2 linked regions of the Arabidopsis thaliana genome follow. The protein of the gene in region 1 interacts with the protein of each later gene in a pairwise test. Each region holds a gene or a part of one and is shown on either strand. Other genes may lie near its edges.

What was found. The genes of interacting proteins can lie anywhere in the genome.
Region 2: the proteins of AT4G39700 (region 1) and ZFHD1 interact in a two-hybrid assay, tested with the Arabidopsis thaliana proteins (one study listed by BioGRID).

Annotation. Positions count from the first base shown.
Region 1 is NC_003075.7:18,421,841-18,426,108, forward strand, and holds AT4G39700 (Heavy metal transport/detoxification superfamily protein), read left to right. Parts: upstream 1-2,268; 5' UTR 2,269-2,424; coding exon 2,425-2,596; intron 2,597-2,761; coding exon 2,762-3,066; 3' UTR 3,067-3,269; downstream 3,270-4,268. UniProt on the Arabidopsis thaliana protein: Heavy-metal-binding protein.
Region 2 is NC_003070.9:26,178,263-26,187,129, forward strand, and holds ZFHD1 (zinc finger homeodomain 1), read left to right. Parts: upstream 1-3,893; 5' UTR 3,894-4,207; coding exon 4,208-4,936; 3' UTR 4,937-5,284; downstream 5,285-8,867. Other genes in the region: CLE45 (CLAVATA3/ESR-RELATED 45), read left to right, coding at 1-262; AT1G69610 (zinc finger FYVE domain protein, putative (DUF1666)), read left to right, coding at 8,689-8,846. UniProt on the Arabidopsis thaliana protein: Transcription factor involved in the up-regulation of several stress-inducible genes. Acts as a transcriptional activator by interacting with MED25 and NAC proteins. Involved in increased drought tolerance.

The sequences.
Region 1 (4,268 bases):
GATACAAAAATAAGATCGAATCTCACGAATTTATGATATTTGTCTGGAATGGGATCAGGAGATGTTGATTTGGTGATGAATGTTGTTGCTGTACTGATGTGGCATCATGTGGTATATCACTGGGCTTATAATATATCATCCCTCTGTAGCATTTCATATTTTAAAACTGTCATAAAAAGCCCATGAGCTTACTTCTAAGCCGAATACTATTGAACACCTCTTAACCAGATAGGTGTGATGTGCATACTAGTGCCCTGGAATCTAACATTGTTCATTGCTTGCAAAGAGTGTACAAGCAACATTAGCTAGTGTTGCGGGCCAAACTTCATCATCTACACGAGCGCGAGAATACTACTCCCTGAAGTAGTTACTACTCTCGTTTGCCTTAAATGAGAAGAAATATTACAATCTTAACTGGTTCCTATTTGAAACGGTTTTTGGAAGGAAATGCAAATTAGTTTCTAAGGATAAAGAAATCAGAAAAGATGATGAATTTTAAAATCGACACCGCATTCACTTTCGGTGAGTTCTCTTTAGCAACTTTTGTTGTGATCCTAAATCCAAATTAAGAATCTAAGAAAGATAACACACTAAACCCAACAAAACAAAGGTCATGCATGTATCTTTTTTTTATCCATTTAAAGACAGATATATAATTGATACCTTGTCCTGTCCACATTAGAAAGTTTTCAACTCTTTGATGTATAAAGTTTGATCTCTGGTCGTTAAAAAGAAAAACCTTATACTTTGATAATCGGATAAACTCGTATAGAATCATGCCAATGATGCCATATAAAATACAATTAGGAGTTAGGAAATACATTTAAATAAATATCTAACGGCTGCCGGAAACTTCTTATCGACAGTCTTTAAATAGAGTGCATAAACTTGTTATTATATGTACCGAACGTTGAAGGTTTGCTCGACAACTCCAAAACATTATAAAATTTTGTCAGCTAACTTACCACTAATTATTTCGATCGAGTGAGGAGTCACCTTCATATTCTTATCTATATTTTTATATATATAACAGAAAATTTATAAATTCTTGTCAACTAACTTGCCACTAATTATTCGAGTGGAGTCCCCTTCATATATTCATAGATACATATAACTACAATTTATTATGTCAGCTAACCGTTGGTATTAGTATGAGTTACCAAAAAGGCAAAGATTCGAATTTATGACAAGTTCTGTTTATTGATAGACGAAAGAAACAAAATTGTCCCTATATTCAAGATAAAAAGAACGACTTTAATTACATGTACGTATTTGTATTTGCTGGACGATAATAAACATACAAATTCAATTTTGAGGAGTTGAAAATATTCCCTAGCTTCATTCCAGATAATTATATGAGTTTTTGTATATCTACTATTGAATTATTACGTAAAATTATGAATACGTGAAGAGAATGTAATACATACTATGAAACAGCTAGCTAAGTTGAGAGGGGAGGTGGCACAACTCCTCCAATAAGGAGACAGCCTCACACGCGTATTCCAATCGGCGCCGTCATATTGCCACGTATACAATTGAACGCTCGAGATCTCTTCCCCATACGTGTGAAGCTGTCTCGTAGTGAGTAAATATTAACTTTATAAATCTCCACGATGGTTCTTGCTATTTTTATATATCACCTTTAAATTTTGCTAAATTTGATCATTGATCCTAATTAATTTAATAATGAACCGACTATTAATTATGCTTTAGATAAATTAGTATGAATTCGTTAATAAATGCATGGCTCTCTCACCTTCTTTCTGTCTTCCTTGTGAAGAACAACAAGATTTAAATAAAAATACCTAAAGTTATTATTCCATGATTTAGTTGTATTCACATCACATGGATTCCCTTTTCCCTACAAAGCTTACCTTCGTATATATGCTAAGTTAAAATAGTAACATATATACATTTGTTCAACAATTGGATACAAATATGAACCAAAAAAACAATTGGTTACAAAAATACTTTAAATGATTGAATTTAGTATGGTTTTAAAGCGTATATATCCCTTTAGTTCCACTTTTCCCATCAAATATCTTCTTAACTAAACCACAAGGTCTTTGGCAATTGGCATATATATTGCTTACGGTCTAAGTTCTTAAAGACATCTTTTTCTATTTTTTATAAAGTTGGCCAAATTTGTGTCAATTATAAACACAACAACATACTTTTTCTTTCGTACCAATACAATTATATACACAAAAGTAATTCTTTATTAAAATATCAAATTAAGGCCTTTATAAGTCGAGGCAACCAAGCTAACAACTCATTGCAAACTGAAACCAAAACAAATATCTATACAAACACATAACACATATTGAGAGCCAGAGTGAAAAGAATTATACCCATTACTAATCGCCTTTATCTGTGAATTTTCTTGATAAAAAGAAGACACAAGTCAAAGATAAAATCAACAAGATGGGAGTTGGGGGAACGTTGGAGTATATATCAGAGCTAATAGGGAATGGAGGAAGCCATAGTTATGGAAAAAGGAAGAAGAAGAAGCAGTTTCAAACAGTAGAGCTCAAAGTTAGGATGGATTGTGATGGTTGTGTCCTCAAAATCAAAAACTCTCTTTCTTCTCTAAAAGGTAACTAGCTTCTTCTTTTATAATCAAAATTCTCGTCCGAATTTGTGTTACTGTCCCTTATGAGATGTGTTTGCTTACTCCTATCTAAAACTTATATAAATACATGCATCAATCATCATGCATGCATATATATAACATGAAAAATCTTCCTTCATATATTTTCAGGAGTGAAAACGGTGGAGATAAACAAGAAGCAACAGAAGGTGACAGTGAGTGGTTATGCGGATGCGAGCAAGGTGCTGAAGAAGGCTAAAGCGACGGGGAAGAAAGCCGAGATATGGCCGTACGTACCGTACAACTTGGTGGCTCAGCCGTACATAGCTCAGGCTTATGATAAGAAAGCACCGCCTGGTTACGTCAGAAAAGTTGACCCAAACGTCACCACCGGGACGATGGCTGTTTACTACGATGACCCTTCTTATACTTCTTTGTTTAGTGATGATAATCCTAATGCTTGCTCTATTATGTAGTTTTTTTTTATTTATTAGATAATTTATAAAGGAATTTATATAATATATGCCGGTAATATATGCATAAATGTGGGTTATAAATTTTGGTGTTTGTTCTCTTTTAGTTCATGGTTTTGTCTTCTTTTGCATGTGCTCTTTGTTGGTGTTACAAGTGAATGTTTTATTAATATTAATATAGATCTAGTATTATATTAGCTTAATCAATTGGATATCGTAAGTAATCATTGTTTACTATCATTGGAAGATATAAGTGGAAACTAGTTAATTTTTTCTATGCTAGTTTCAAACTTACAAAACAATAACAAAGACGTTTGTTTTTGGTTAAGGTGTTTCATGGTCTTTTAATTTGAGTTTAGTTTTTTGGGACCCCAATATTCTAACTCTTTTCACCCACTCTCTTTCTCTTTTACATACATTATTAAAAGAAAAATCCAAAAATGGATAGTAAAGATCGATCACATAAAGCTTAAAAAAACTGTGTATCATAACATACACGGGTCATGTAATCTTTCTATACATACAACTACCCCCACCATACTATATTTTAAAGGACTTATTCAACAATTTTTACTGATATGATTCTTGCTCTTCAGTCTTCAGGTGTAAACAAAGTAAGAGCATCCTCAACAATAAGCTCTTATTAAAAACCTCTTAACAACAATAACAATGATTATTTTATTATAATATTATTATATAAATAAATTTTAAGTTTAAGAAAAAAATGAACCAATGTATAAGTGACATGTGGCTTAGGTGGTTTACTTGATTATTAAAAACCTCTCTTCATTCTCTTATCTAAGAGCTCCTCTTCATTTTTTCTCTTCTTCTTTCCATGTTTTTATTTTTATATTACTAGATGAATTCCCACGCTACGCGTGGGTTTGTTTTAAAAATTCTTTAGATAAAAATATGTTAATTATTTTTGTCGCTAATTTATGTTTACTTTTTGTTTGTTATTTTATACTTAGTAAAATTAGACTCATCTTATGTACTTACATTTTTATTGTTAGATTCATTTTTGACTCTAAATATCAATTTTTATATATTTTCATGTATAATCTGATTATTTTTATATCCAAAATTCTAAAATTTGTTCATTATCATGAATACACACAATAAGAATATAAGATATTTTGATTTCAAGAGTTTTCGTATGAAAAAAAAGAAGCAAAAATTAAAGAGTTATTTTAGTAACACTTTTT
Region 2 (8,867 bases), on another chromosome or scaffold:
AACACAAGCAGAAAAAGCAGGAGTTCAGACAGAGGAAATTTCTAAGCTCAGGAGCATCGGTGTTCAATTCAAACACACCCTTGAAGATCAAGAAATGCTCAATAAAAACCGACGCGTTCTCGAGGAAGTTAACAAAGATAAAATCAAAGCTGAGGAGACACAAGAACGAAAGAATAAGACAGAAGACTCATTCAAATCAAGCAAGAGACGTGTAAGACGAGGATCAGATCCTATCCACAACAAAGCTCAGCCATTTTCTTAAACGGCGCAAGAGAAATCAAATACAGAAAAAGGCAATATACTATAGAAACGCAAGAAGAAGAAAAGGGCATAACAATCAACCTTATCAAAGCTGGAGGTAGGTTAGTTGGTTATTCTCAGGGTTTATTTTTCAAGTATAGGTTTTGATAAGAACACACAATATGGTGAAGCCATCAGATTATGCAGAACAGCATTATCTGTTCAGATACACCAAGAGAATACATATTTGTTTTCAAGATATTTCTTTGACCAAGTCCCCACTCTATTGTTTGCATTAGTTCGTATAAGTTTTGTTCTTTCTGCAATGCTTTTGACTCCCACCAAAACATGTCCTATGTATATAACATATCTCAAAAGTTTTGATTTTGCTACAACTTCACTATGCAACCTCTATTTTCACACAAATCACATTTGCACTTGAAAGGTAAACAATTCTGTCTTTCTAACAAATATCAAACTTATCATTTGAGTGAAAATGAAAATCTAAGAAATTGGAATTCTAAGGATTCTTCATGAACGTAGCCTTAAGATCAACCTTCAAGAAATTTACAATCACATGAAGATTTTAGTGGAACTAATACCTACATTGTGATGCGATCCAACTAATAATCGGTAGATCAACCTCTCAAAATCGAAGTATTACTTAGGCGCCATGAAAACCAGCGGAATACGAGGACTTACAGTTATTCTCCGAATACATCTTCCGGCGAGTTTAACTCCGCCGCCGGATCAGCAGTTTCCTCATACGGTGGGGAGGAGAATCATTGGCACCTAGCCGCAAGGAACGGCTCGCTACGACGGTTCAGTCGCCGAGGGCCTAACGGTGCTACCAGAGAGCTTAGTTTAGTTGTTAGGCCCAGTTCATAAAAATAACTCTCTTTGGGCCTAGGCCTTTAGATATTTTTTTATCCTGCCCAGCCTTGATGTGTTTGATTTGTGCTCGATGATTAAAGTTAAATCCATCTTTTAACTTTAAGAAAAAATTTGCATAAATTAATAGATTTATCGTTGTCCATCAATAAAATGGATTTATAATTTTACTATACAATTTTAATGATGGAAATATAAAAATAGTTTTTAAAAAAAATATGTATCTTGTTTGAATCTAATGTTAAATTGTATTCAAAAACAAAACAAAAAAACATTGATACATATGAATGTAAATTTTTCTTAAAATAAATTATTAAGAGATTCTATGATCTATCTTCACCTCTTCTTCTTAGTACGCTCAAACGGATTTCATGTTCTTGTCAATCAATTTAACGATTTTCTTCGTGGTCGAAGATTGGTCTCGTGCCTCCTCTCATTTCTTTATCACTAAATAAAGAGTATCGTGTTTTGAAACAGTACTTGGGAATAAATTTTGTTGTGGAATCAAGATCTTTACTCGCAAGCTCTCTCGTGATATCCTTCTATTTTGTCTGAGTTATCAGCTCTTCCCACACCTTTCTCGAATACTGGCATTGAAAAAACAAATGCTCTCTCGTCTCCAACGGATTTTTACAAAATACGCAATTTGTATCCGCATTTTGGTTCCATTTAATCATTCTTTATTATGTTGCAACTTTGCTTTTCACAACCAGTCAAGTGACAACATCATACTTTGGAGTAGCTTTGGAAAAACTAACTTCTTTGTATCCTTGCATCTCCGGTTTAGCTATGCATATTTGTGACCACGTCTCTTTAGAGACAAATTGCTTACGGTAGTTATCGTTTTTTATCTAGTCTTTGTTTCTGTTTATTTTTCTAGTAGTGAATTTTAGCATTTGTTATTTATCTAATTAAGTCTTACTTTGTGTCATTTACCTACTTATTCAATAGGTATATACATAGATAGAAACGTTACGCAAAAATGACCCCATGATCATATGACATTTAAAATTTCGGCTACAAATGACTTTTTCTCCAACCTTAGTGGCCGGTTTGCGGGATGCGCGTGCTATTTCGGTCATTGACAAGATCGTTAGGAGATTGTTCTAATCCGTCTTTATGATTCTAATTGTGATACGAGTAAATAAATTGTTAAATCAAAGTCTCTGTCAACGAATTATTAGTAAAACAATAAATACGTTTATTTAATTATTTTTATTGTATGGTCAAATATCTCCCGATTGTTGTAAATTGGATTCTAATTAAGCGTGATTGGTGACTAGGTTTATGATAAACGACAAAACGTAACACCAACTGTTATTCATTTATTCTCCTCGCAAACAATGCTTTAATTAGTCTCATTTCAGGGATCAGACTCTTAACTATACATTAATGAATAATTTATATGCCTTTCAATAAGATTTTAAGTTAATTAAACGAGTATCCAAAGCTTAACGAAATGAATGTTGATGTCTGATTTGTTTTGTTACTTTAATTCTAAAGAGTAAAGACCTTAGTAATTATAATTAATAACAAAATTAGCCATGCAGTTTGATCTTACCAATAACATTCACATGTAGTAACATTGTAACTTATAAGAAAAGGTTCATCATTTTTTTCATGAATGGATCATCATAAAAGTAACAATAACTAGTCACAAAATGTTCCTTCAATTTTTATTTTTTTGATAGAAACTATATTTGTTGTAAAAACAAACCCTATAAGAATCGATATGGAAAATGGCTAATGAAGATTCAAAATAATTGTGGGGTACTTAGAAGAGGAAGACTTGAAGACATACACCACATAATTGTGACCCAAAAGCTAATCAATAACGTAAGCAAAATGCGAAAGAACACTAAATTTCGGCGCCACACTAATGACAAGAAGTGAGAATAAAAGGTCGGTAAGAGATAAGAGTCTTTCCAAAGGGTGGTTAAGGAATTTAGACATTTAAATTTCATGATTAATTACGAAACATGAAGTTTGGCAATTGTCACAACAAACTCTTCTTTGCTCCACGATTGAGTCAAGTATTAAGTATTCGTGCGAAAGAAGTTCTTTTAGAGGTGTTTTCGGTAATCTACAAAATCTTCTAGTTGTTTAGCACTTTTCCTTTTGGAACGAATTAGTACATTAGCATAAGTCAAATATTTCACTAGAACACGTAATACCTATACTAGTAAGAAATTTTATTGACTTTATTGTTTAGTTAGATTATCGTTATAGGAAAATTTACGATTTTAGACCTCTAGATAAGAAAATGGTCCCTAAACAGAATCAAAATTGAAAAGATTAAAACGTTTTAGTATAAAAATGCAGGGGTGATACAGTGAAATTAACAGAAGTATGGGGTGGTAACGTAAACTCTTAAAAATAAGAAACTGTAATATGTACAGTGGAATATGAAACTGCAGGGCAGCTGTAATTGTCCTTTAGTACGATGCATGTAATGGGCTATTGCCACGTATACACTTTGGACTCAAATCTTCCAACTAATCCCATCCTCTCCTTCGAATATATTCGATTAATTAAAATTTTATGTCACGCTCAGAAATTATTCATCTTTTTTATTTCTTTTACACAACAAGTTACCCACTGGTGAAAGTGAAAACCCATATCTTACAAATGTCCCGTAAAATCATTGCTTTCTGATAAGACCTCAGATTCAATATTTTATACAGGTTCAAAGTGTATAGTCTGTCTATATAACGTATGAATAGATATCAAAACTAGTGACTAAAATATTCAAAAAAATCTCTGTTTCACCAAAACAAGAAAAAAAAAAAGTAAAAAAGAAGTTGTGAATTTTCATTGATATACAGTGAGTGTTTTCTTTCTTTTGCTGTATGTTTTGGACGTTTGTGAGTAAGCACTTATTATTATTTTCCAAGTCCTAATTATATTTCATCACTGCCATGTTCTTTACCGATATAATTACATCATCGTCACATGCACTTACATAATTATCCTTTTTTAATAAATAAAATAAAACTACAAAACCTAATCTTCTCATTAATCACAAAAGCAAAAGATTTAAGTAAACACACTATAAAGACAGAACTAAACAAAAGCTATGGATTTGTCTTCCAAACCACAACAACAACTTCTAAACTCTCTTCCCATCGCCGGAGAACTAACTGTCACCGGAGAAATGGGTGTTTGTTACAAAGAGTGTTTGAAAAACCACGCGGCTAATCTCGGCGGCCATGCTCTCGACGGTTGCGGCGAGTTTATGCCGAGTCCCACGGCTACTTCCACCGATCCTTCTTCTCTCCGTTGCGCTGCTTGTGGCTGCCACCGTAACTTCCACCGCCGTGACCCTTCCGAGAATCTCAACTTCCTCACCGCGCCTCCGATTTCTTCTCCCTCCGGCACTGAGTCGCCGCCGTCTCGTCACGTGTCTTCTCCTGTTCCTTGCTCTTACTACACCTCAGCTCCTCCACATCACGTGATTCTCTCTCTCAGCTCCGGTTTCCCTGGACCGTCAGATCAAGATCCAACGGTGGTTAGGTCAGAGAACAGTTCAAGAGGAGCAATGAGGAAACGAACAAGAACCAAATTCACGCCGGAGCAGAAGATCAAGATGAGAGCCTTCGCAGAGAAAGCTGGTTGGAAAATCAACGGATGTGATGAAAAGTCGGTGAGAGAGTTTTGTAACGAAGTTGGGATTGAGAGAGGAGTTCTTAAAGTGTGGATGCATAACAACAAGTACTCACTTCTCAATGGCAAGATCAGAGAGATCGAACATGGCCTGTGTCTGAACACTCACAGCAATGATGGTGATGGGTCTTCATCTTCTTGAAGAAAGATTCAAGATTCGGGTTAAACCGAATTAGGATACTTTAATTTGGGAAAATATGAGCATTAACCGGTTTAAAATCATATAATAGTGTCTTTTCTCTAACATGTAATCGATCTTGATATAAATATTTATGCGGTTTGATCTTTTCTATTTTCATCACTTTGACAGAGATGTGGTCAGAGATCACAAATGGGTTTGGTAATAAATAAGTTTTTAAATCGGAGGTTGAAACGAATTTTGATAGACCATTTCTAATTATAGTAAGTGCATAAGCGCTAATTGTGATCGTAGAGATCAAAAGATTCGTTTCTTTGTTTACTTTCTGATTATTCAATGTTATCTTCTGTATTATTAGAAATAAATCTCCTGAACTTTAGAGATAGAGTAAGTAAAGTTTGCTTAATGAAGATACGACGACGTGGTTATTACGAATTGCAACAAACTATGGCGTGGCGGAATATAATTAGGTCACTGGGCGGCACATTTTTGTTGTTAATTTATATGATATGATTAAAAGTTATTAAAATGCTGGCTTATCTCTTTCCATTTAGGGATAAGCTTTGGCAACACCAATCTTGCTTATTTATCCTAATTAAGTACAATGCAGATGTTACGATTACTAAAATATCTACTATGTGCAATGATTTGGCTCTTCCCGCACCACTGATATTAAAAATTCGTTTTTTTTCTTTCATTCATCATGTATTAACGAATCATAGCGAATGCTTTATCACGTATAAATGGTCGTAAGTTCAATGCCGGAGACAAAGTATTTTACCATGTATGTACGAAGTAACGAAGCCCAAGCCTTAACAAAAGGCCGGTACGAATATCCATGCCAGATAGATCAATGTATGCAAAAGCTCTATGTAGATACGAGTAACTGCATGCAATGATTAATGATCAATATATGGTACACAAATTGTTTAACATGCATTTGGCGGATAAAATAATTTACATTATAGATCGGTATATGTGTTTATGGTTGGATGATTGAATTTTTTGTATGCTACTAATTAAGATTCCGATTGGACAATATTCCAATACCTAGCTAATATCGATTTTAGATGTTAGTGGTCCGATTAATTGATGATGTAGATATCAAATTCTTATATCAGTGGATCAAAAATATGATACACGAAGACATGTTACATAATGATGAAAAAAGTAGCAACGGATAATCCCCATACCAACAGTATGTAACATGTCTTCGTGTATCACATTTTTTAGATGATATTTCAAAAAAAAAGGTTTTTATTAGTTAGATGTTTTCTTTTGTTGGAATATGCAAAGAGGAAAGCAATGTAAAAAATTCCATTATAGCTAAAGCCCATTGTAGTTTTTGATTTTTGAGACTAGACCCAATAACACACTAAAGGACACTAATCGAACCAAGTATCTTAGGGATCCGTTAAGTCTTTCACCAACCGGAGACTTGGTCAAGTATAAGTATAACCGTTGAAGCATACCATAATCCAAGTCAAAGATCAGAATCCTTCAGTGGGGATCTTGCATCCAAAATCGATATGTATAGTCACGGTGGCAATTTTGAGCCAAGCCAGAGACGAAGCAGCTCAGGAAAACTCATCATGCTTTACTTTGGATTGGTAAGGACACTGATAAGTTGATCACCACATGGAACATCTTTATCATCTATCTAGTGTGTATTTATGTTAGATAAATGATTATCAAGAGAGGTCTTCTTGGGTTGGGAGATGTATAAGGTAGTGATTAAGATGTATATAAACACATTTAAATGAGTCAAATGGTTAAATAAGTCAATTTTTTGTTTGAAGTAAAATAAAATAAATAAGTTTCTTTTATAAAGTAAACAAAATCATTTTACCTTCTTTACAATTTATAAGATAAAACATGCACCAATCACCATTTATTAAATCTAGTTTCCATTTTACCTACATTAAAAGAGGATGGGATACGTCAGCATCAATGTCTGGTCCAAATTTATTGAGACACGTGTAGCCTTGCATCTCTATTGCACGTTGAAAATGAAACGAAAATGATAATTAATTTGCTTAACACCTAAAAGAAAAGGACTAATAAACGATCGCACTCGAAATTAAAAAGGAATTTTCAATTTCAACGTAACACGAGCATCTGCCAAATGCTCTCGTATAATAGTCAATCAATTTTGTTTTTGGACCGTGACTTGGCCATGTTTGGACGGTCGAAGACCAAAATCTCTCACGCGACTATCTACAATTCTACATGTTACCCAAACTCATTAATACACCTATAAGGCTACAAGTGTTCACCAGCAGCTACACATAACATGAAACTGCTGATATTTTTCGTTGGTCGCCCCCCCATAGGCATGTATGTCCGGGCTCGACCGTGACCCGATCATACCTTTACTTGATCTATATCTTCCAACTTTTCTAAATAGTTATGAAACGCTAATTATCTTTACTATTACAACTACTTTTTTTTTGTGATATAACTATAAATATCATTAAAAATGAAAAGTTTAGGGATTACAAAATGTAACACCTATAACTTTTTAAGTCAAAAAACAAGGCTACAAATATTTATGAAGACACCAAAGTGAAATCACCTAATCCAAAGTTGCATTAAATTTCTAAAATGCTTCATTTGTCTTCGAGGACTGATTACAGTTATGATATCTTTATCCATCAGCTCAAAAGTGGTATGGTGAGACGAGACTGTGAGATTGTGAAGAACATTATTCCACTGCTTCCAAATGTGATAAATTGTAGTTTGAGATGTTCGAACTACCCATTTAAATAATAAATAATAAATTCTTTAAAACTACTCAAATCCGAATTTTACTCGTTTAATAAATTATCCTATTTTAATAACAAATTACCATCATCATATCTCTTATTTGCATTTCACAAACATTATTTTTTAATTCTAAAATCTATATACTTTTACCAGCTTGGTATCCGATATTATCCTATTTTTGGCTTGTTCACCCAAATGTACAATCTGCAACTTTAGAAAAGAAATTAGGTTTAAAGATGATATTCATGAAAGAAAATCTCATATGTGACCAAAGAAAACAATTTAAGAAAATCTTAGATTATGACTTTAGAAAGATGATATTGTTTCTTTTCTGACAAAAAACCAAAAGAGATGATTTTATTAAATAACAGTTGAAACTCCAAGAGAAAAAGGGCAAGTGAACCAATGAATGTTTTGAAGCAAAGTGACAAATGGAGAAGAACCCGAAAAGCAATGTAAAGTTTGACTCTTGAGTTCTCCCACGTCGAACCATGTCCGTTCTCCGATAAAAAAAAAGAGTAAGTTTCATTACAGTTATTCGAATAATTTTAATTCAAATCCTAATGTATTTGATATTAATATTCATTTTTTTCCCAAGAAAACAAAAAACTTTATTCTCTTCTTCCTTTTGGACATCTTAAGCACAAGGCAAAAAAACATTCAAATCAGAAAGAAAAAAAAGAAGAGAAAAATTACAAAATTGAATGAGAAAGCGAAATGTCACATATATATAAAGAAGAGTTGTGTAAGAGTGAAATAATTTCCCATCCACAAATCTCGCACCTGATTCCATAAATTGATCAGTTTTTCTTTCTTTCTTTCAACGCATATCTAGTGACTCTGTAACACTTTCTATGTCCGAATTCGTCTTCTCCAATAGTAAGAGATTTTGACAATTTTCTTGGGGGAGAAAAAATCATAAAAACACTAATCATGTGTACCCTTGAAGACGTTTTGTGTACTATTATGTTAACGCGTTGAAATTAACGATGATGGGTATTGTTACGACGAAGACGAAGACTTATACAACTACTAACTTCGATTTCTCCAATAAAGGTTTTGGTGTTGGTGGTTTGAAACAGTTTGTGTACGGAAACACTTTCATTGTTCTCGATGCTTTCTGGGTTTCTTTCTCTAATCTCTTCAGGTAAACGTTTTTGCTTCTTCT